Linked DNA regions of Saccharomyces cerevisiae S288C. The protein of the gene in region 1 interacts with the protein of each later gene in a biochemical or structural test. Each region holds a gene or a part of one and is shown in the gene's direction. Other genes may lie near its edges.

Region 1 (9,971 bases):
AAATGAAAATCCCAGTTTTTCATTCAGTTTCTTGCTACAAAGTATCAGTCTTAGCTTTTTTTTGCTACGAACGTGGCCCTTTTTATGCTTATTTTTCGTTGTAGGAAAATGCCTCTTCTCTTATAACCAAATGGGGAAAAATATAAATGATGCATCTCGAAAAAGCTTCAAGATCTACTGGAACCGCAACTTCTACTCTAGAACTGGATAAAAGCCTAGAAGAACTTCAAAATTAAAGGGGCGCAAGAAAGTTTCAAATATATTACATATTTGCTACTTAGATCAAGAATAACCACCCCCGGTCGTGACTTTTTAGATTTTTTTTATCTTGTTTATTTTTAGCAAAATAACCGTTTCAAGAAAATACTAGAAATATAATCAAAGACTCCCAAGCGTATACACAGTAATGAACGTTTGCAAGTTGAAAGAAATAGTACCACTATTTCCGAGATCGTCCTTTACAGATGGTGTAGTAAGTACAGGAAAAAGTTTCCGAAGCTGGGACACCTGCATGGACAATAAAGCATGTAAAATTATTGCGATTGTTGGTATTGTTTTGGCCTGTATTCTTGTGATTTGGTTGATTGGGGGCTTACTGACATGTTTCAGGCAAGGGGTAACAGGAATAGGTCAGTTCATTTGTTGGTGTTGTCGTTGTTCTAATGACAGAAATGGAAACAATACAATGCCGGTAAATGAGGGTTTTAGTAGAGTTAATATGGGCGTGGCTCCTCCTTCTACTGTGATTTATCAGCCTATTCAACAACCTGAAAGTGCGTATTATAGAAACGATGCGAAGAATGATACATTTTACGACGAAGTCAAAACTCCCAGTAATGAGGTGTATGAATTAGAGGAAGATTTCGATTTGGAAAAACAAAAAGAGAAAACAAGGAAAAAACAACAGAAGGAAAGAAATAAAGAAGGACGCAGCCCTAGTAGGGTGGCCCCTCTAGTGTATGAAGAAGAAAATTTCGAAGGTAGCAGCCCTCAGCCGCAATATGATGCTAGAAATTCGTTTATCCAAAATGCGGCCAATACTGGTAGCAACAACGCTCATGTTGCTTCACAATCTCCAATTTTTGACATCAGCGATTATGGCGAGAACTATTATTACGATAATAATAACATCAATAATAACCTCCAGGGAAACAGTTACAATACTCCCTCCTCTAATCATAGAAGTCCATATCCAACCGAAAATTATCAATCATATCAGGGATATAAACCAAACCAAAGCGATAGATATTACTAATGAGGTAAATATATATTCCCCCTTCTTTTGAATAATCAGTCAGACATTTTAAGATCAAGAGGATTCATTGGTAGATTTTGCAAGAACCAATTAGGAATTTCTTCAGGAATAACTGTGAGCTTGCGTTTACGGAAAGGAAAGTAAAAAAAAATCTTCCAACGAGTTTTTCCTTGTACCGGTTGCTAAAAAGGTGCCTTCTAACAGGTAACACCAGAAACCGCAACTTTTAAAATGCAAATAAGGGCAGTCAATGGTGAACTTCCTCTTGGTCAGTTAGTATGTACAATAAATTAGGTTGTTTTCCTCAGGATAAAAGTGATCTATTTGTAACATATAGTTTACCTAGGTGCTGACGAGGACACAGGAAGAGCAAAACTAAGATCATACAAGTCAATACTTATTATAATCAAATGATAATATTCGTTCAGCCTCATATTCGAGTTTCACATCACAACTTTTTTTTTCGCGAGATGCGCAGTAAAAACTCTATATACATTTTTGTAGTGAATTTTGATTTTGATGTAAAGAAAGCAGCCAGGAGATTAAAGGAAGGAAAATAGAACAATAAAAAACCACGGGATCAGCATTAACAAATTGGCCAACTAATATCCACTGCAGAAAGTTGAGATTATGTCCTTTTTCGACATCGAAGCACAATCTTCAAAGGGTAACTCCCAGCAAGAACCACAATTCTCAACAAATCAAAAAACGAAGGAATTAAGCAATTTAATTGAGACATTCGCTGAACAATCCCGCGTGCTGGAAAAGGAATGCACCAAAATTGGTTCCAAACGGGACTCCAAAGAACTAAGATACAAAATTGAAACAGAGTTAATACCGAACTGCACCAGTGTAAGGGATAAAATTGAGAGCAACATCCTCATTCACCAAAATGGAAAGTTGTCTGCTGATTTCAAGAACCTGAAAACGAAGTATCAATCCCTACAACAATCATACAATCAAAGGAAGAGTCTGTTCCCTCTAAAAACGCCTATTTCACCAGGAACATCTAAGGAAAGAAAAGACATCCATCCGCGAACTGAAGCCGTGCGACAAGATCCAGAGTCTAGTTATATTTCTATAAAAGTAAACGAGCAGAGTCCTTTACTGCATAACGAAGGACAACACCAATTACAGCTGCAAGAAGAACAAGAACAACAACAGCAAGGATTGTCCCAAGAAGAACTAGATTTTCAAACAATCATTCACCAGGAAAGATCCCAACAGATAGGACGCATTCATACGGCGGTACAAGAAGTCAATGCTATTTTCCATCAGCTCGGTTCATTAGTGAAAGAACAGGGAGAACAAGTAACCACCATAGACGAGAATATCTCGCATTTACATGATAACATGCAGAATGCAAACAAACAATTAACCAGAGCAGACCAGCATCAGAGGGACCGTAACAAATGCGGTAAGGTCACCCTAATCATTATAATAGTTGTGTGCATGGTGGTATTGCTTGCTGTATTAAGTTAGTAATCTCCTTAAACGCGCATTGAGCACAGACTTTCTGGTAGACCCAATCTTATCTATTTACGAAAACAAGAGTGTATAAGAGTGTATAAGTTATTTTTTGCATTTATTCTTTTGTGGTAGGGGGGTTTCTTAGCCGCTCTTTTTGACTCAAAATTTCCTTTGATGTCTAGTGATAGTGCACTTCCCATGTGCGCAACCTGTGTTTTTTGTACTCCGTAGTTTAAATGCAAGGGCTCGATATGCCCTTTTTCCTTTTTCTACTTTGTACGATCTACACTGACCTTTTTTCAGTAGTCCGTAAATCCCCACGAATTTCTACTAGCGACTGCCAATAAAAAAAGGATTGTGCTACTGTATGTAAAAAGTAAGAACCCTGTTATTTTCCGTTAACTGTCATTTGCCTTACTGTTGCTTAACGGCCGCCAACCGTTATCAAGAAACAAAACATTGTATGCGTTGTCTTCTAAATGAACCTTGTGGGCCCTGATAAACATAAGAACGTGTCTGGCTCGGAAGTATTTATCTTATTTCAATTTTCGCTTTTGCAGAACATCCTTGCCTGTCACTAAGATAAGGACAGAGCGTGGATTAATAAAAATGGCAGAATTTCTCGGCAAAAAAAGAAATCATGCATAATTACCTCGATGTGTACGTTATTGCGGGCACGATCCTGTCGCTACGGCCTGATAGTAGCGGCTATTCTGCTGGCGAAAATTTTCAGCAGTTTGAAATCTTACTGTGGCGTCCCGGTCCAGCCGAGATGACATCTAACTAAGAAATGTCCGCTGCGGCACACCCACGCCGTTGCAGCTAAAGTCGCGCACCAAGCACAGACCTGCTGGAGAATGAGGAACAAGGTTGCGTTAAATGCTTCGGGAAGAACTGCCGAACCGAACCGCTAGAAAAGTGCGCAGGTACCCCGATCGAAGCGGCTCGGCGCTCATTTTAGCACAATCAGAAAAAGGAAATTGAAAGAAGAAAAAAAAAACATAATCATTAACAATTCTTTTCTTGAGATATACGTATATATGACGTCGTCATGTAGTATCTCTTTCGGGATACCCTTTGTAAACGTCCCTTTGTGGAGATGAAAAAAAAACTTGCTGAATAAAGATAGTTAAGGCGCTAGTAATCAAATTAATAACATATTATACCACATCACATCTATACCATTTCCGTTGCACATTGCTTGAACCAGTTGCCAAAATTGACTAAACGGATTTTTACAAAGTCAACGGTGATCACTAAAAGCAAACAACTCAAGCGACGAGGCAAGGAAAGAGAAGAAAAAAAAAATATTACATTGGCTATATAAATATCAAAACATCTTAGGTAAGGCACCTTTGATACATAAAACGAAGAAAATTCAGCACATGCCAGATGGCGAGTGTACCAAGTCTATGCGACATACTGATACCGCTAGAAAAGAATAGTCGCAGCGACGGCGATGCTGAAAGTAGCAATACAGTGCTGATTCAACTGCGAAAAGGGCATCACGAACGGATGCGTTCTCCTTACACAATACAAAAGTTTTACAAATTTCTAAAAAGAGCTCATTGTGAGGAAAATTTAGAATTTTTCGAAAAAGCTCATCAGTTCCTCCAGCTTAAGCAAAACAGGAGTATTAGCGAGGAGAAGCTCTTGGAAGTTTGGAACAAGTCGTTGTACATAAAATACATTGCCGTGGACTCCCCCAAAGAATGCAACTTTTCACAGGATACTAGGGAGATATTTGAGAAGTGCTTTGCTAACAATGAAGTACCTGCCGACGTAGACGTCCTGTGTGCCATTAGCCATGTGATGGGCCTATTAATGGACGGGTATCACCGATTTGTGAGTTCTGTTAATGAGAAAAAGTACTCCGCCACATATGCCCACAATGACTCTGCTACGGAACAAGATCTCAAAAACGAGTCTACAACTTCTTTTTCGTCATTAGGCGTGGAGGATATTTCTGAAGATAGAAATTCGTATCTTAAGAAGCCTGATATCAATGGTTTGTCAACTATCATTCAAGAAACGTCTGCAAACACGACCAATGAGTCGCAATGCAGCGATCGCACTTCTCGGCCAAGCGAGTCCTCTTCCTCACTCAACACTACCAGCTCGACCTACAAGAATACCAGCACTAGAAATCTGCAAAAACCGCAAAATACAGGAATTCTCAACTCGGGGAAAGGTTTATTGCAAAAACTTAACTTTGTTAAAAAACGGAAATCTTTCAAACAGCCTTCAGGCGTCATTTGTAGCCATTATAACAGCAATGTTCAAAACCGTTTGAAAGGACAAAACAGTCATCAACAAAGATAGCCTCTTCATCATCTGTGGAGACACAAATATCTTCATCCTCATCGCCATTACCCAATAAAGCGATCGGTAAAAATGAAAAAAGCGTTGAAAACGGCTTTAAAAAGCTAAATTTGCATGATATCAGTTAATCAAGATTAGAACTTTGATTAAGTAGAACAACGATAGAAAATCCGCTTTTCTGGCTAGTTCCCTCGTTTCATATTAATTCATTTCACACAATTTACTTCATTTCATCACGCTCATATTGTTTGTAACTTTAGTTTTTATTTAATTTTACGTACATGACACTGCATATAATTATTTCACAGGCATTTAAAATAAGAGCATTGGGCACAGTCTTCTTTTATATGTTGTCATATTCAAACACTAAACATTTATCTGTATAGTAATTAATGTTAGCTCTTCCTTCTGCATGGCGCTTGTTATATACTTCATTCGTCTATTTTGGTGCCGCGCGCCATCATGGTCCGGTAACGGTCGTAGTGAATGACTCATATTTTTCCATCTCTTTCGGCCTTGCCAAAAAATGAAAAAAAAAAAAAAAAAAAAAAAAAAAATTAAAAACGATGTCCAGAATCACAACTACAACATAGTTTTGCCTCTTACTGGCTTGATTGGAAGTTAGCTGTTAAATTTCAATAATGCCTTACTTTACTCCACGAAATCACAATCCTTGTTTTCGGCTTATAAGGGTCTTCTCCTTAGGATAATACTATCGGCACATTATCATTTAGCCGCGTAGCCATGGTAAAACATTCGTTCATAGCGCTAGCTGAGCATGCTAGTAAACTAAGAAGGTCTATCCCACCCGTCAAACTGACTTATAAAAATATGCTACGGGACCCATCGGTAAAATATAGGGCGTTTGCTCCACCAAAAATGGTCAAGAGGATTTGGCCTGACAAAACTATTCAAAAGGCTCCACGTTGGCTGTCTACTGACTTGAGGGACGGTAATCAATCTTTACCGGACCCAATGTCTGTGGCTCAAAAGAAAGAATATTTCCACAAGTTGATCAACATCGGTTTCAAAGAAATCGAAGTGTCTTTCCCCTCTGCATCTCAAACAGATTTCGACTTCACCAGGTATGCTGTAGAAAACGCTCCAGATGATGTTGGTATTCAATGTCTTGTCCAATCTAGAGAACACTTGATTAAAAGAACCGTGGAAGCATTGACTGGTGCTAAAAGGGCTACCATACATACTTACTTGGCCACAAGTGACATGTTCCGAGAAATTGTCTTCAATATGTCTAGAGAGGAAGCTATTTCTAAAGCTGTAGAAGCCACCAAACTGGTTAGGAAACTAACCAAGGATGACCCTTCCCAGCAAGCTACTCGTTGGTCCTATGAGTTTTCTCCCGAATGTTTCAGTGATACGCCAGGTGAATTTGCTGTAGAAATTTGTGAAGCTGTTAAAAAGGCTTGGGAACCTACCGAGGAAAATCCGATCATTTTCAACTTACCAGCTACTGTAGAAGTTGCCTCTCCAAATGTTTACGCTGATCAAATTGAGTACTTCTCTACCCACATTACTGAGCGTGAGAAGGTCTGTATTTCTACGCATTGTCACAATGACCGTGGTTGCGGTGTCGCCGCCACAGAATTAGGTATGCTTGCAGGCGCTGATCGTGTAGAAGGTTGTCTATTTGGTAATGGTGAACGTACAGGTAATGTTGATTTGGTTACAGTTGCCATGAATATGTATACCCAAGGTGTTTCTCCTAATTTAGATTTCTCAGATTTAACTTCAATTTCTGAAATTGTCCATCGCTGTAACAAGATTCCAATTCCCCCAAGAGCCCCATATGGCGGTGAATTGGTTGTTTCTGCCTTTTCTGGTTCTCATCAGGATGCAATTAAGAAGGGATTTGCAATCCAAAACAAGAAACAGGCTCAAGGAGAAACTCGGTGGAGAATTCCATACTTACCATTGGATCCAAAGGATATTGGACGTGATTACGAAGCCGTCATCAGAGTCAACTCTCAATCCGGTAAGGGTGGTGCTGCTTGGGTTATTATGAGATCTCTAGGATTAGATGTACCAAGACCAATGCAAGTTGATTTCTCCAATACTCTACAGAAAAATGCAGATGCCTTAGGAAGAGAGTTAAAATCCGAAGAGATTACAAAATTGTTCAAAGAAACTTACAACTACAACAACAATGAACATATATACGTCACCTTGTTGAATTACGAAGTTAAGAAATTGAACCCAGAGCGTAGAGCTTTAGTGGGCCAGGTAGAAATCAACGATAAGGTTGTCAACATCGAAGGCTACGGAAATGGTCCTATCTCTTCTTTGGTGGATGCGCTATCCAATTTACTGAATGTTAAGTTGAGCGTTCAAAACTACTCTGAACATTCCTTGGGTTCTGGTTCTGCAACCCAAGCGGCATCTTTCATAAATCTTTCCTACATAAAGGACATCAATAATCATGCTACTAGTAATATGTGGGGTGTTGGTGTCTCCGAAGACACTGGGGATGCATCTATTAAGGCGGTATTTGCTACTGTCAATAATATTATTCATTCCGGGGATGTTCTACTGGCAGAGTAATAGAAAGGAGTAGCTTATGATTACTCATGTTATATATATATGTATTTTTATTTATAAATGGCACAGAAAAGTAACTTATTTCACGTTAAAAAGACATCTTTCAGCGAAGTTTCCAAACACTTCTTCGATGTCTGTGTGGAAAGTTTCTTTCGTTTATAGTTTTATTATTTTTTTTTGCTTTTTTTCCCATGGTACCATTTCCTTTCGTGAAACATTTTACCCAGGCCCACCCACCGCATAATCTTAACTGAATCCGAATAGGGATTTTTCGAGCACTACTGCAACTGTTGAGTGAGCTAGGAGTAGTGTAATTTGAGACTTTGTGAAGGGAGAACAGTCAATATCCAATATCATATTAAGAAAGCTAGCAGTACCTTAAGAGGAAGAAAGAAAATAACTGGGGCGAAGAATATCTAGTTATCCACTCCTTCATAGAATGATTATCTTTGTTTCAGAAGAACCTGAAAGGAGGCTAGCCATTGTATCCAACTTGTATGCTCTTGTTCTTAAACCGGTTGGGAAAAAGCCATCTGATAAACCCCTTTGTGCCATTGAACTTCTTCAAAAAAATGATTTGAAAAAATATGGCTTCAAAAGACTTACATCACACGAAATTTTTGGTGTTATCGGACTCATTGAGGTTAATGGCCTGCTGTTTGTTGGTGCCATCACTGGGAAATCAAAAGTTGCACAGCCATGCCCAGGAGAGACTGTGAACAAAATTTTTGCTGTCGATTTTTTTTGTTTAAATGACAACAGTTGGGATTTTATTGAAATCGACTCCTCAGGTTATCCTGTGTTGCCGGAGACTGCTTCAACTGAATATCAAGACGCCTTGCCAAAACATCCATGCTATGAATTGAAGAAACTATTATCCAATGGATCTTTTTATTATAGTTCAGATTTTGATTTGACCTCAACCTTACAGCATCGTGGATATGGTCAGCATTCTTTGAGTACAGATACCTACGAAGAAGAATATATGTGGAACTCTTTTCTCATGCAAGAAATGATCACATACAGAGATCATTTGGACACAAATTTGAAACAAATCTTGGATGACGAGGGGTTTTTAACAACAGTTATCCGTGGATTTGCGGAAACTTTCGTCTCGTACGTTAAGAAGTTGAAAGTTGCTCTTACTATCATCTCGAAACAGAGCTGGAAAAGAGCAGGAACAAGATTTAATGCACGTGGTGTGGATGATGAGGCAAACGTTGCCAATTTCGTAGAAACGGAATTCATTATGTATTCTAGCCAATACTGTTATGCTTTTACACAGATTAGAGGCAGTATACCTGTATTCTGGGAGCAAGGTACCTCTTTAATCAATCCAAGAGTACAAATTACAAGATCATTTGAAGCCACCCAACCGGTATTTGACAAACATATCATGAAATCAGTGGAAAAGTACGGACCTGTGCATGTCGTTAATTTGTTATCAACGAAATCTTCTGAAATTGAACTTTCAAAACGATACAAGGAGCATTTAACTCATTCAAAAAAATTGAACTTCAACAAAGATATATTTTTGACAGAATTCGATTTTCATAAAGAAACTTCGCAAGAAGGCTTTTCCGGTGTCAGAAAACTCATTCCATTAATATTGGACTCTCTTTTATCTTCTGGCTATTATTCTTACGATGTTAGAGAAAAAAAGAACATATCTGAACAACATGGCATATTTAGGACCAACTGTTTAGATTGTTTGGATAGAACAAATTTAGCTCAGCAAATTATTTCTTTGGCTGCTTTTAGAACTTTTCTCGAAGATTTCCGATTGATTAGTTCAAATTCGTTCATCGACGATGATGATTTCGTTTCTAAACATAACACCCTGTGGGCTGATCACGGTGATCAAATTTCCCAAATATATACTGGTACTAATGCTTTGAAGTCCTCATTTTCAAGAAAAGGTAAAATGTCACTTGCTGGGGCATTATCAGACGCCACAAAATCGGTCAGCAGAATATATATTAACAATTTCATGGATAAAGAAAAGCAACAAAATATCGATACTTTGTTGGGAAGGTTACCGTATCAGAAAGCAGTGCAACTTTATGATCCCGTAAACGAATACGTAAGTACGAAATTACAAAGCATGTCTGATAAGTTCACATCAACCTCCAACATTAACTTGTTAATAGGATCATTCAATGTTAATGGCGCAACCAAAAAAGTTGATTTATCAAAGTGGTTATTTCCAATCGGTGAAAAATTTAAACCCGATATTGTTGTTTTAGGTCTTCAAGAAGTTATAGAACTATCTGCGGGTTCGATTTTGAACGCTGATTACTCGAAAAGCTCTTTCTGGGAAAACTTAGTGGGTGATTGCTTAAACCAGTATGATGATAAATATCTGTTG
Region 2 (3,600 bases), on another chromosome or scaffold:
TCAAGGCCTATGTACATGGTGCTTAAATATGCCTTTGGTGCATCTTTAATACTTTCTTCCTCTTTATTTTCATCTGTTACCAGTTTAAGGGCGTTCAGTGCTGTCTCAGTTTTATGACTACCGTATTTGTCTTGAATCATTTCATAGTCATCCTCGGTTGGACAACAATAACTACTTTCAAAGGGTTTGGTGAAAGGATGTGCAATTTTTATTCCAGCTAACACCTCCAGTTTCATAACTAGAAGCCTTACCTTACTTTCAACAAGACCACTCCATTTTAAATGCTGCTCGTCACTGCCCCTTGTATATGCAGTAATTTCTAAATAGAACTTGTATCGAAAGAAAAAATCGTTTTTTTCGAATAAATTGGCCCAGGACTTCTTATTGGAAAAAATATCATTCGTAATTTGAACGCCTCTTACGAATTCCTGTAAAATGACTTTTTTAGTAGATTCCGTGATGTTATGGGTAGCACACATTGATGGATAAGCTGGTGTAATGACGGGCATTCTATGAGACCTGTCTTGGGCATATATCTTTGGATTCCATACACGAACTTGTAACGGGCCATCCTCAATTGGTTTCAAGATAACAGGTTGTGGCCAATTCCATTCCGACAAAATGATGAAAAATCTGTTCAATATAACTGCGCTACAGGCGTTAGGGTATAGTTGACAAATTCTAGCCACTAGCATGGCCCAAGCCACACCACCAGGAAAACCAAAAATATTAGCATAAACAGCCCTTCTTTGGGCCCATAGCTTAATAGCTCTTAAAGCGATTCTGAAAACATTCGGCTTTGGTACCAGTTCTAATATCTCATCTGTTACTCTGGTACCATTCAAAGCTCTCAAGTCCTTCTCGTCTAGATTTCGCAGTAGATTTTTATCTGATAAAGTCAAGGATAAAGGCACTTGAGGTTGGTCTAGACGTGCACAGATTAAATCGATAGAAATACCACTGAACTTTATCTTGATAATCGGGACAAACGCATCAGGTACAGGTGCAATTTCATCCAGTTCCTTCCTCTCTCTCAGTAGTGAATCAAATACCGTAAAAAAATCTTCCCGAGTTACATGTTTTGGAACAACTACCAAAGTATCGATATCACTACCAGGCCCATGGACTCCTAGTCTATAGGACCCATACGTAAAAATCTTCCCACCAGCATCCCTTGCCATCCCGTCTGACATATTTTTCTTCTTCGATACTTCATAAACAAATCTTTGTGCCAATTCCTGCAATATTTTCAACACTTGTACCCTATTGGCAGTTTCTTGCTCTGTTTCGAACGATCCTTCCTTTTTCAGTTCTTGGATTAAACTATCATTTAATTTATTTTCTGCTGCTGTGGCGCCCACGGTGGAAACAGGTCCAGTAATACCAAAAACCTTTTGAGAGCTCATTATTTGTCTAAAAAAAGTTTATGCGTTAAATATTTTGCTAATTCTAGGCCTCTTTTGATTCAAAAAAGACCGTTTAAAGACTTGCTCACAGTGAAATTATTTAGCTAGTTTAGTGTCTTTAAACTTTTGCTAAAACGTTTCACTTGAAAAATCGTTCTAATATCGTCCAGAGGATAGTATGATAGCTTCAGAGAATTCGATAGATACTTGAATCCTCTAATAGTCGAAAAATGCTCGAGGGTAAACCACTTGTGCGCTTGGACTGGCCTAGTTTCCAAAACCAATGTTCTAATGGATTGATTTCTTCCCCAAACATTATTAAGTGGCCGGGTCACCCAAAGACTTGGGCGCCGTTGATTCGCGTCGCTTTGCCATCAAGAGAACAACATATCTTCCAAGACAGACCGAGATAATTCATCTATTTACTCCTAAAAAAGAATTAGAGAGGCCTTTTATAGCACCAAAATAAGGACCGTACGAAAACTGCACATTTTATATTATCAGATATCATGGATGAGCATTTAATTTCTACTATTAACAAGCTTCAGGACGCTTTGGCGCCCTTAGGAGGAGGATCTCAATCTCCTATTGATTTACCACAGATCACTGTTGTCGGTTCCCAGTCGTCAGGAAAGTCGTCCGTTTTGGAGAACATTGTTGGTAGGGATTTCTTGCCAAGAGGTACTGGTATTGTCACCAGGAGACCTTTAGTGTTACAATTGATTAATAGGAGACCAAAAAAGTCAGAACATGCTAAAGTAAACCAAACTGCTAATGAATTGATTGACTTGAACATCAACGATGATGACAAGAAAAAGGATGAATCAGGAAAGCACCAGAACGAGGGACAATCTGAAGACAATAAAGAGGAATGGGGTGAATTTTTGCATTTACCTGGTAAGAAGTTTTATAATTTTGACGAAATTAGAAAGGAAATCGTCAAAGAAACTGACAAAGTGACAGGTGCCAATTCAGGTATTTCTTCTGTGCCCATTAACTTGAGAATTTATTCTCCGCATGTTCTTACTTTGACGTTAGTGGATTTGCCTGGGTTGACGAAGGTTCCCGTAGGTGACCAACCTCCTGATATTGAAAGACAAATTAAGGACATGTTGTTAAAGTATATTTCGAAACCAAACGCTATCATATTATCTGTTAATGCCGCTAACACCGATTTAGCCAACAGCGATGGTTTGAAGCTGGCTAGAGAGGTCGATCCAGAAGGAACGAGAACTATTGGTGTCTTGACAAAAGTCGATTTGATGGATCAAGGTACAGATGTCATAGATATTTTGGCTGGAAGAGTCATTCCTTTGAGATATGGTTATATCCCAGTTATCAATAGAGGTCAAAAGGATATTGAACACAAAAAAACAATCAGAGAAGCCCTTGAAAACGAAAGAAAATTTTTTGAGAACCATCCCTCTTACAGTTCTAAAGCTCATTACTGTGGTACACCATATTTGGCTAAAAAGTTAAACTCAATCTTATTACACCACATTAGGCAAACTCTGCCAGAAATCAAAGCGAAAATCGAAGCCACATTGAAAAAATATCAAAACGAACTTATAAACTTGGGCCCAGAAACTATGGATTCAGCTAGTTCGGTTGTTTTGAGCATGATTACTGATTTTTCCAATGAATATGCCGGTATCTTGGACGGTGAGGCGAAGGAGCTTTCCAGTCAGGAACTTTCTGGTGGTGCTAGAATTTCTTACGTATTCCATGAAACTTTCAAAAATGGTGTAGACTCTTTGGATCCATTCGACCAGATCAAAGATTCTGATATCAGAACCATTATGTACAATAGTTCAGGTTCTGCCCCATCTTTGTTTGTCGGTACCGAAGCTTTTGAAGTTTTAGTTAAACAGCAAATTAGAAGATTTGAAGAACCATCTCTACGTTTAGTTACTCTGGTGTTTGATGAACTTGTTCGTATGCTAAAACAGATTATTTCACAACCAAAGTACTCAAGGTATCCTGCTCTAAGAGAAGCGATTTCTAATCAGTTCATTCAGTTCTTAAAGGATGCTACTATTCCTACGAATGAGTTTGTTGTCGATATCATCAAAGCTGAACAAACTTACATCAATACAGCCCATCCCGACCTTTTGAAGGGTTCTCAAGCAATGGTTATGGTGGAAGAAAAATTACATCCTCGCCAAGTCGCTGTTGACCCAAAGACGGGTAAACC
Region 3 (11,316 bases), on another chromosome or scaffold:
TGAAATACTTAACAATTGAGCCGCGATATTAATGGCACAATAAAACTTTTAGAAATTTCTTTTGAAAAGCGTTTCTCGGTACCTAATGCTGTTCGCGCTCAGAGTTCCGCTGAATTTCGTGTAATGCAGTATATTTTGTAATAAAGTTCTCGTGGCCCGTCCTTGACTGTGAATTTGTGTCAACGGCGTGCTCTATTCCTTGCTTAAACGGTGGCAAAGCAGGACTTCTAGGTCCACTTGAGCTCTTCTTTTCCTTTTCCAACCTTTTTAAATTTTCGTTGCTAGACCAAGTTACCGCTATCACCGCACACGGAATGCGAGAGCGTCAAAAGTGACATAATTCTTCCTTTCCAGCAACATTAACATTTATTTATTCAATAGTGACACGACTAAGAAACTAGATCAATTGCTCTATTTTACTCATACACACTGGCTAATCATATATAGATACAAAGCGGTGAATCAGCGATCGATGAGAACGAAGAGAACTAGGGGTACAAGAAATGTAGGAGCGAGCATGCCTGCCGGCGCTGCGAATGCGGATAGTGAAGACTGGAAAGAATATGTCTCCGAAGACATAATAGCCCAATTGAACAAGCACCAGCTGCCGTATTCTGAAATATTAGATGAGAAGATCGCGGACTTGGCCAATCACTGGCACTTCCAGTATGTGATGGCTTGGCTTTCCAATGTCTGCGAATCATATACTACAACGACATTTAATACTGACCAGTATGGCGGTAGCTCTACCAAATGCTTGTGGAAGAATATCAAATTCGATGAAGGTGTATTTGTAACTGACGTATTTTCGAAGATAGACGGGAAGGACTCGAACTATTACAATGATGAAGTCGACGTAGATGAAGGATCGCAAAATTTGTACGACAGAATTAGATTGCAATTATTGCATCAATTAGCGGGAAATAAAAGCGGGCAATTGAAAGATTGGAATGTTATAGTTAACCATCACTTGCAAAACTCGAGCGCGTATTCAGATTTGGTTACGGACTTACCTTTTTTGGAGCTTGAAATTGCACGCCAATTCGACATCATTTACAGTATCATAAAATTAATTGAAATGAAAAATATGATCTTCAAAAACTACTTAGCGAATAACTTGCATCTGTTTACGTTTAGTGAAGTTATACTGGATGATGATAATAGTGGAGGGGAGGAAATGAAGAGCTTGTTTGCCTTACCCAATGTTGGTGTACTCGTAAAGAAAACCATTCACAGAGTAAAAGAAGGCTCTTCCTCCCAAGTCTCTCAAACTCTGAATATCCCAATAAAACTACAGAACTGTACTATAAAAGAAAGCGACCCAGACATTCCTGATTCAGTGGAGCTTATTCATCTCGAGTACTCTCACGATATCGATGCATATCTTCAATCGATTACAATTGATTATGATGTGATTACAACTAATTGGGGGTCCATGCTAGAATACTGGTCAGAGAATAAAAGTTCGAAAGCCATAGATGAGTTCATAACTAACTTAATACCGGTGTATGCCGAACATAGACTATATTCGGCAAAACTTTTGGCCAACAGAGAAAAGGAGAGAGCAATTGCGGAGCTAATGACAAGGAGGAAAAGATCTTCGAGACTGGTAGCGAAAGAGGAAGAAAACAAGAAAAAAGACTTGGAAAGTGAGTGGTTTGAAAAACTAGATGAAAGAGAACAATTTATAAGGCACAGAAACAAGCTAGTGTCGAAGGAAATCAAAAAGATAAAAGATCTTCTTTGGAACCAATTGTGGCAATTGTACGATCAAGATTATAGAGATGAAAAATTGACCAGGCGTAACGAGCTCAAAGATAGAAGTGGTTCTGGTACACCGTTTTTTGAAACGTCTTTGGGCAGGGAGGAGGACAATCCCTTAAATGAAATCGATATCGGAGTTCTTGATCACGGCCCTAACTTTCAATCTAGTATAATCCCGGTGGAACCACCAATTCCTGGAACTGTTGGGCCACTACAGACGGGAGACGTCCCTGAATTGCCTAGTGACTTCTGCATAACAAAGGAAGAGCTAGATGAGCTTGCCAACTACGGGATCTTTACTCCGCAGCAAGAGCCCGACAACCAAGATTCTGTTTTCCAATGTCCGGGCGAACCAGAGCTGGCGCCCATGATTATCACCGAAGACACGGAGACTGACCTCTTCAATAACCGCCCATTGATATGCTGTGATCATTGTTACAGGTGGCAGCATTGGGAATGCCAACCTCCAAAAATTATAGAGCTTATATCTTCAACCACAAAATCCCCACAGCACACGCTGTCGCAACGTGATTTTGGCGTCATCATAATGGGAAATTCGCACGGCAATAGAAGGTCTTCTCGCAGACCCCAATCCACACTTGAACCCAGCACCAAGTCTTCAAGACCTACTGATAAACGCAAACCGCTGTCTGAATGCTCCACTTTTATCTGCGCTTGGTGCATCAGGGACTTGGAACTTGAGCTGCGCAACATTTTTGTGCCTGAATTGAAAATAATAAGGGCCAAACAAAGAAAACAACAGGAAGACCGTGAAAGAAGAAAAAAAATGAAGGAAGAAAAGAAAAGGCTCGAAGAGCTTGCAAAGAAAAGGGAACTAACCGAGTCTGTCTCACCTCCAGTGTTTAATAATGCATTTGCAAACATGTCAAGTAGCACAACGCCTAGTATCGCCGCTTACGAAAAAACAAATCCAGCCATCAATCCAGCACCTAATGTAAATGCCGCTCACCCCATAATTACATACTCGCAGCAAACTGGCAGCAAAACTGTACCACAAGCACCACAGGCACCACAAACATCACAAGCATCAATCCAACCACAGCAGCAACAGCAACAGCAACAGCAACAGCAACCGCTGCACCCTAAAGAACAGAACTTTCACTTCCAGTTCCCACCAACCAACTAGCCTCATATAGAAATACACAGCAAAAGTATATAGTAAAATATATATCAACTGGTTCTTCATGAAACTTTCTTTTCCAGCCGCACATCCGTAGGGCTTCTGTCGCTTCATGTCGGGTAATAATGATGCTTAGGGCTTAGCGCCAAAATAATTAGGGTGTATGAGGCGGCTCCTGACTAGGGTCAGACGGCATTTTTTCGTCTTTTTTTATCCGGTTTTTCGTCAGTGGCCATCCTTAATGCGCGGCAAAGGTGCTGAAGGCGCCTTATTGTGTTAAAAAAGCCAATGAAATAAAAGTGGGATGGTGAGAACGCCAAACGAGTGAAACAGAGAATGGAAACTCGCTTCTTCACAAGTATTTGATGGCTAGTTTTCTCAATTACTTGTTTCTTTGGATAGACACGAACATACAGAACACTTTCAACAAGACATAATTATAGAATGCTGCTGGACGTGAACACAAATCACACACTAATGCACGATGCTCATGTGCATGAACATTGCCTCATCAAAAGCATACGTGATGATGGCGCATTGCACTCATGGAGCGACTCATCAAAGGTATTTTATCCCAAGTCATTTTACGCTACCGCTACTAATAAGAAGAATAACAAGTTAGCCAGCGCCAGCATGAACAAGACCGCCACAAGTAATAGGACGGTGAGCGATGAGATTTATTTCCACTCCACTAAGCCGCAGTTCGATGGTCAAGGAAGCGCTGAACGTACTAGAACACTAACCAAGAGGAATAGCTTCAAGAGGACTAGAATACTGAAGGCTCGAGACGATTCCGAACTGCTGAACGAAAATCGCTCATCTTTGATGACCCCGTCCTTAAGCTCGGTCATGTCGCAAGTTAGGAAAACAAATTCCGCCAAGACGTTATCGGGCGAATGCCCCATACATGAGGGCCACTTAACACAGAGCATAAAGAGGAAGTTCTCCGAGGAAGCTCAAAGCGACTGTTCTTCATTGAGCTCCTCTAAACTTCATCCCTTGACAGATGATATTGCTGACGCTGTCGATTTGCAGACCCCCGCGATTGGCGATGAGGTACTGGCTGAGCCGGTCGTGCCCAAAATGAAAATAATAAACATAAATGATCTCGATTTGTTCGACGACTGGGAGGTTAAGGATTTAGTCGATATCTTTCCTCCCGTATACGAACGGCGTCCGCGATCGTCCTCTGCCCTTTCACTGGTTTCTGCGTCGTCCGATGCCAAACTTCGTCCGACCTCTGTGGACTTCCAAATCATCGACAAGAAAGGCGGCAAGACTTCAAGAAGGAAGAGTAGGAGCAAATCGACTACAGAAAACATGATTTACGAAAATGACCTGGTAGAATTAGAACAATGGCCATCTGCATCACCATCGCCCGAGACCGACGGTTCGATTGCATCTAGCGAGCTCTTGCCCAATAAAAGAATAAGACAAAAAAGTTTGAATACCAATTTCCTAAAGTTATACTCTATTGAAACATCATGTAAAAGGAAGAGTATTTTACCCGAAGTCGAAGTAGATGACCATCTGTTGAAGCAGCTAACGTATTCCGAAATTCGGTCTTTGGAAATCAAAAAGGAGCCAAATGTCTCTACGAACGATATTAAGCTTGCCCTAATTACTAGGAAAAAATTATGGTCTGACATGGTCCATGAAACAAGAAATGATCTTTTTGGCGATTCTACCCCCTGGAATTTGCACTTTGTTGCAACGACAAGCAATACGGAACCTTCGCAAGGCCGTGAATCCGCAAGCGAACATGCAACGGCGGATTTGAAAAGTTCTTTGGTCCGCGTACACTCAGACGTCAAGCCATGGTTCAACAATGGCGGCACAATGCTCAAACCATGCGGAAAACTAAATTTAGGCAAAGTCACCAATAAGACTTCCGCACCTACGAGAGAGATTCAATATGTCGTAAAGGGCTGGTGTGACAGCAGGTTTCTCTGATAGACCCCCCACCTTTTCATCGCCTTCACCCCACCCATTTGCATTATCTAAAAATAGTAAACTATATATTCTACCACCACATTCATTATATATAATATTTAAAACAACGCATTACCACCAAGCGCCCGGGTAATATTCGCCTCAAACGATCGAAGAAAGAAAAAATGAGGTCACAATAATGATGAAAAAAAGCCCCTCTATGAATTTTCTAGCACTTGACTAAGTTGGAGCAACAGCTATTAAATTTGAAGAACAGAGTGAAAAGCGACAATTTATTAAGCTGTTAGAGCATTGGACTTTTATATTTTTACCAAATGAAACGCTTTAATGGTATGTATAAATATTTCTACACAATTAACAAATGTTTAAAAAAGGGATTATGCGAATGCTCATCCCCCCATGCCATAATTTTACTATGTTACATTCAGTAGACTAACGTTCCATTTTGCTTGATTTTGCATATGGTCTTAGTAAGTTATGTGGAAGTTATAAAAAATGGTGAAACAATATCTAGTTGTTTCCAGCCGTTCCAGAAAAACGAAAACTATGGTACAATAACTTCAGCAAACGAGCAGATAACGCCGGTCATTTTCCATAATTTGATCATGGATATGGTATTACCCAAAGTAGTTCCGATCAAGGGGAACAAAGTTACCAAGATGTCAATGAATCTCATCGACGGATTCGATTGTTTCTACTCCACGGATGACCATGACCCCAAAACTGTGTACGTTTGCTTCACATTAGTAGATATGCCCAAGATTTTGCCCATCAGGATACTAAGTGGGCTGCAGGAATACGAGTCCAACGCTACAAACGAACTTTTAAGTTCGCATGTAGGTCAAATACTAGACTCTTTCCATGAAGAGCTGGTCGAATACCGTAACCAAACTTTAAATAGTTCTGGAAATGGCCAATCTAGTAATGGGAATGGTCAGAACACTATAAGTGACATCGGGGATGCCACCGAAGACCAAATAAAGGACGTCATCCAGATAATGAACGATAACATCGACAAGTTCTTGGAGAGACAAGAAAGAGTTTCTTTATTGGTGGATAAAACTTCCCAACTAAATAGCAGCAGTAATAAATTTAGGCGCAAAGCGGTCAATATAAAAGAAATAATGTGGTGGCAGAAGGTCAAAAATATTACGTTATTAACTTTCACTATTATACTATTTGTAAGTGCTGCTTTCATGTTTTTCTATCTGTGGTAAGTAAATAAAAAAAAAGGGGAGCTGTCCCACGACAATAACATTAATAACGGTTGTATTTCTTTTGTTCCTGAGAGGAAGAGAAAAATAAAATAAAAATAAGGTAAATATTTATAGGTATGTATATGCTCACGATGGCACCATCCTACCTATTATTTCTTATTATATAAACAGTGTCTATCTCATTATGATATTAAATGTATACTTTTAAGGGGGAAAACTTTTTGGTTTAGGAATATAGAAAAAAAGAGATGATATAAATGTTTGCATGTCCATTGTAAATGCATTGGCTAGATATCCCATTTAGCAAAATCTGGGATATCGATATGGAAGAAAGGTAGATTTGTTCCTGAAGCGGTATAAACGCTATATTTTTCAGGATTTTCTTCGCCTTGAGGTACTCTGGCGACGTGATAACTTGTATGACCGGCAACAATGGATTCATCACTGTATTCTTCGTTCAGAGTACCAAATCCTCTGCTAATTAAACCTCTCTTCACCCATGGTGAAATGATACCCACAAAGTGGAATTCAACTTGCCTATCTGCATATTGATTTATGGCCTTTCTCAAATCAACCAATGATTGAAGAGCCGTAGCGTCTGTCTGTGCCACTTGTGAGAAGTCTAAGCATAGTATTTTCAGCAATGGCCTGTCATCTCTTTCAACATCGACTGAGGTGCTGGGCGCGTTTTCCATGGATTCAGGGTCGTTCTCCCTTTTCTTCCAGAATTTCAAATTCTTTAAGAAAGCAGGTGCTTCCCATGGACCAGGATCATTCCATGGACGGTCAGATTTTTTTCTGTGGCGAATTAATTGACCACGTCTGGTAACTTTTTTAACTTCTTCGGTTATGATGTTGTAGTGTCTGGAACAGTTGAGATAGGTGTAGCTCTCTGATAGCCTATAAACAAGAACACCGTCTGGTGGGGGGAGAATCTGAACGTCCGGGTTCAATTCTCTTGTGTATTTATGATCAAACGGTATCCATTTAGTATGGTATTTTATCCTTGGCTGGCTAATCGAAGAAGATGGAGAATCAAAGCCCTTTGTTTGAACGTTTGTTTCTATTTTCTTGGAGGAATTTGTGACGTATTTGGTGGAACTTTCCTTGTCATCCTCACCACCATCTTCTAAAGTGGAAATACCATTGTTATTTTCAGACACGTAGCTAACCACATCGGAGTCCGGTCTGACGTAAGCATCAGTAACTTCAGCGACTTCCACACGACCCAAGAATTTTCCCGCTGGGAAAGCCACTTTTAAAATGAGCATTGCACATGACCAGCACATGGCAAAATAAATACCATCTTCAATAGAGGCAAATACCGTTATTAGGACGGTGACAATGAAACAGATGAAGTCCAATGGATTCATCTTCCAGAAATTCCAGGTAGTTTGATAAGAGGCCAAAAGATCAGATACAGCGTGAATGATAACTGCAGATAAGGTAGCCTTTGGAATGTAAAAGAATGCGCCGGTCAAACAATATAATGCTAAAAGAACACATGAACCCGAAAACAAACCAGATAACGGCGTACGGACATTACATTTAGCCTTCAAAGCAGACCTTGAAAAGGAACCAGTCGCTGGGTAAGCATTGAAGAAAGTACCTAAAAGGTTCGAGACACCAATAGCAATCAATTCTTGGTCGGGGACGACTTTATAGTCGTTGATTCTACCAAAAGACTTCGAAATAGCGATATGCTCCAACAATAACACAATAATGGATGCAGGCAAATTTGGACCAAGCTTAGACATTAATCCTGGTGGAACATGGAAAACCCCGACTTCTTTCAAACCGGATGGAACTGAGCCTAGGATGCTGATGGGCCTCTCCGATTTAGATTTGCCTCTTGTGATTGCCCAACCAATACAAGTGAATACAATAATAATGATACCATTTCTGGAAGCCTGAGCGTAAAAATATGTCCATTTGATAATTTTGTGTAACCTTGGGTTTTTGGAGTTGTATCTATCGTTCAACCTTGGTCCATATGTTCCGCACCACCATTTCCAAACATAAAGAAGGAAAAGCGGGATTAGCCCAAAAACTGCGTCCAGTTTGGTATCTGGTAAATGTTTCAAGGTCTCTATGACCACTTTATAGGTGGCAGCTCTCGTGTTAACCAAACTATTGTAACCCATTAGTGCTGGAACTTGACCCCATAAGATATTAAACGCGGATCCAGTCATAAATCCAGCGACTGCATTTAAGGAAATCAGTTCGACAAGAAACCCTAGACGCAAGAAGCCAACTGCTGCCGAAATGATACCACATAGTAACGCTAGAGTCGTTGCAATAACGGGACCAGTTATGGCAGAATCTCCATCAGGATATTTTGCCGTGACATCCGCAATGACTTTGGCGGTCTGCAAAGACATGACAGCCACGGGCCCAATACAAACATCTTTTGATGTAGCGAAAAAAGAGTAGGAGTAAGCACCAATAAACGAGGAGTACAACCCATACTGCGCTGGTAGCGTGGCGACTTGTGCATATGACATGGATTGCGGCACGAGAACACAGCCAATGGTAATTCCTGCAATAAGATCCGCAGTAAACCAGCTAAAATTGTAATGTGGTAGCCAGTTGATGATGGGAAAAACACTCTTAAGATAACTACATGCTCCTTTCACCGTGAGATGAGATCGTATACTGTGGTCATAGTACTCTTTTAGCGATACCGTTGTTTCTTCAAATTGGGAAACGGAATTGTCATACAACGAGACATCTGAAGGATTAAAGTAGTCAATCTTCGAGCCTTTTACGCCCTTTGAGCTGTTCACTGCGTTGTGCTTTGCTACAGAATTGCTCTCTAAGTCCTTATCATTAAACGTGTCATTATTTTCATTATTTTTATATTGGTCATACTCTAATTCTAAATCATCAAGATCTGGAACGGTGTTGTTAGTTTCCTGAAAGTCAGGAATTTCTACCTCTTCAAAGTTTGGATAACCTTCCCTGGACATATCTTAGATAATTCCCTGCTAATCTATACACACACACACCTCAAGAAAGAAAAATGTTACAGAAAGATAAAAACTTCCAGGCTTTAGTACGAGCCTAACCTGTTCAAGTATTGTGTTGATACCTTGATATATATATATATGCGTATTATTGAACGCAGAACACTGAACGGCAGATCATCCCTCAACCGGCTATGACTAAAAACTGGACTTTGGTTCAACCATACCGCTATCCGACGTTGCTAGTTTCTGCGATCTTTTTCAGTCCTTGTTTAGGACCACAACTGTGGCCGAATTTCTCTCTTCACGTGACCTGACACGGCCACAGTGGCACGTGACATTTACTCCAGTATAACAGCCAACAACAACTAATCAACTTCCCACCGGGTGCAATGAAACATCAAAGGCTCCGTGGTGGAGTCGGCATTAGTAGTCGTATATGCCCTTGCACAAGCTCGCATATAGAGCCTTCTAAGGCGTCGCTCTACAGTCTCGTCATAGAAGACGGCAGTCAATGCCAGCTCGTTCTCAGGAGAGAGCGGGGGGTTTTCTATGAAGAGGCTCTTGTAAATATGAGACAGCTGTCTTGCGAAAAGTTGGGCAATTTGTTTGGCCGGAGAAACTTCGCCAAGAGCGTTCCTGACAGGAATTTGCACGCCAGGGGAGGGGTATTTTTTGTGATTGTAGCTTAGATGACTGTTCGCTATTAAAAATTTGTAGTGGTTTCCAAGAGAATTTATCAGGAATATCCTCTCTGGTGTGAAGGTATCAAGATCTGTCCCACTCAGACGCATTAACGATGGCGGCGTTTGGACCCAAGGGTTTTTAACGTTAAACAGTGTTATCCAATCCGCCTTCAGCCAGACGCTCCTTGAAGACGTTGAATTTAGTTTCCCATTGTTTACAGCGATGGAATCTACCAAGTCTCTGTGGTTCTCAAATGGCCAGTGAGTCAGTAGAAAGTGGTAGTGTTTTTGGAAGAGATGCGCATGTCGTGGGAGCGGGTTATTCCATTGGAAGTGCGTTTGGTAAATGATACTCTCCAGTGCTTTTAAGCTTGCCCTTAAATCTTGTCTTCTTTGCGCCTTCTCGTACAGTTGTAGTGATTTTGTTAACGGCACGGCTATTTCTTTGAACTTGTAATCGCTTTGTTTACTTGTGAGTGTGGTCGTCAATGCTACCTTGGTTATTTGATGAAGCGGCGTAGACTCTATGACCGGCAGTAATAAGGCGTTAACCTGGGACGCCATTGTTGCTCCAAGTTCGCAATCGCTGTTCTGATAGAAGGCCTTTGTATGCTTGCTTTATGTCCGCCGCGATGGGGATTCTTCCTATTTTTCTACTGAAGGTGCGAAAGACTTCATTCTTCACCGCATTCAGTAAATGAATTTCATATATATACATATATACAGGTAGGATAACTTATGAAAAAAAAAAAAAAATAGAATAAAAAGTTATTGATGCCATCATTGGATACAGCAGTACGAACTTCTTGCTTTCTGATGCGCTGAATCCTGTGCTTCTGGCTTGAACGGCCTTATCCCTTCTGGAAGATCGTCCGTGTGAATGATCCGGAAATTTGATATAGTTTCGTTGTTAGTCAGGTTGCTGTCATCTTCAGTATTTACAGTCGCATGTGAGGCACAAGATGAAGATGACGGCAGATTCGTTTTTATTGCTAGTAGTTCTGATTTTTCATTGAACCAGTTATCTGGTGGAAATTCAATATGAACGAAAACATACAGATCGCCGCACCGGCCATGAGGGTTATCTAAAATGGGCCAACCTTCATTGGCGATTTTGATGGTGTCACCAGGTCTTACTACTCTGCCAGGTTTAACGCTCAATGTTAGTAACCTGTCGTCGAAGGTTTTTGTCAAAAATTTCTCAAATCCCGTCAAGGCCTCGCTTAACGATATGGTAATGCTTGTATACAAATCTTCCCCGGCGCCGTCGTCAAAGTTCTTCAAAAAGATTTGCTTCTGCTCCAAGTTTTCTTGTTTTTCAGTGAGATGGAACTTTAAATCACCACATGTGGTCTTATCGATTTCCTCGTCCGCCATCCCCTTGACTGTAATTACGTCGTTAAAGTGGTGTCCCGGAGCCACGTTCACTGTGATGATTTCCTTCTTTGACAGGAGCCCCAAGCCTGCGCAATCGGGGCAAAAGTTCTTTGGATTCTTGGGTCTTTTAGTGTACTTCCCCTTACCATTACATTTCTCACAGACCACCCATTGCGAAGCTACCAAACCGGGACCAAACCTCTTCAGACGTT

What was found.
Region 2: the proteins of VAM3 (region 1) and VPS1 form a complex in vitro, tested with the Saccharomyces cerevisiae proteins (3 studies listed by BioGRID, with this or other methods).
Region 3: the proteins of VAM3 (region 1) and NYV1 form a complex in vitro, tested with the Saccharomyces cerevisiae proteins (11 studies listed by BioGRID).

Annotation. Positions count from the first base shown.
Region 1 is NC_001147.6:517,236-527,206, forward strand, and holds VAM3 (SNAP receptor VAM3), read left to right. Parts: upstream 1-1,885; coding exon 1,886-2,737; downstream 2,738-9,971. Other genes in the region: PIN2 (Pin2p), read left to right, coding at 407-1,255; YOR105W (uncharacterized protein), read left to right, coding at 960-1,286; GTPase-activating protein RGS2, read left to right, coding at 4,118-5,047; 2-isopropylmalate synthase LEU9, read left to right, coding at 5,792-7,606; phosphatidylinositol-3-/phosphoinositide 5-phosphatase INP53, read left to right, coding at 8,043-9,971. UniProt on the Saccharomyces cerevisiae protein: Required for vacuolar assembly. Provides the t-SNARE function in a late step of the vacuolar assembly. Required for homotypic vacuole membrane fusion, autophagy and fusion of biosynthetic transport vesicles with the vacuole.
Region 2 is NC_001143.9:441,038-444,637, reverse strand, and holds the start of VPS1 (dynamin-like GTPase VPS1), read left to right. Parts: upstream 1-1,915; coding exon 1,916-3,600. Other genes in the region: polynucleotide adenylyltransferase PAP1, read right to left, coding at 1-1,406.
Region 3 is NC_001144.5:321,272-332,587, reverse strand, and holds NYV1 (Nyv1p), read left to right. Parts: upstream 1-5,172; coding exon 5,173-5,188; intron 5,189-5,329; coding exon 5,330-6,075; downstream 6,076-11,316. Other genes in the region: IOC2 (Ioc2p), read left to right, coding at 473-2,911; GIS3 (Gis3p), read left to right, coding at 3,350-4,858; SUL2 (sulfate permease), read right to left, coding at 6,363-9,044; GEP5 (Gep5p), read right to left, coding at 9,410-10,291; XDJ1 (Xdj1p), read right to left, coding at 10,508-11,316. UniProt on the Saccharomyces cerevisiae protein: Vacuolar v-SNARE required for docking. Only involved in homotypic vacuole fusion.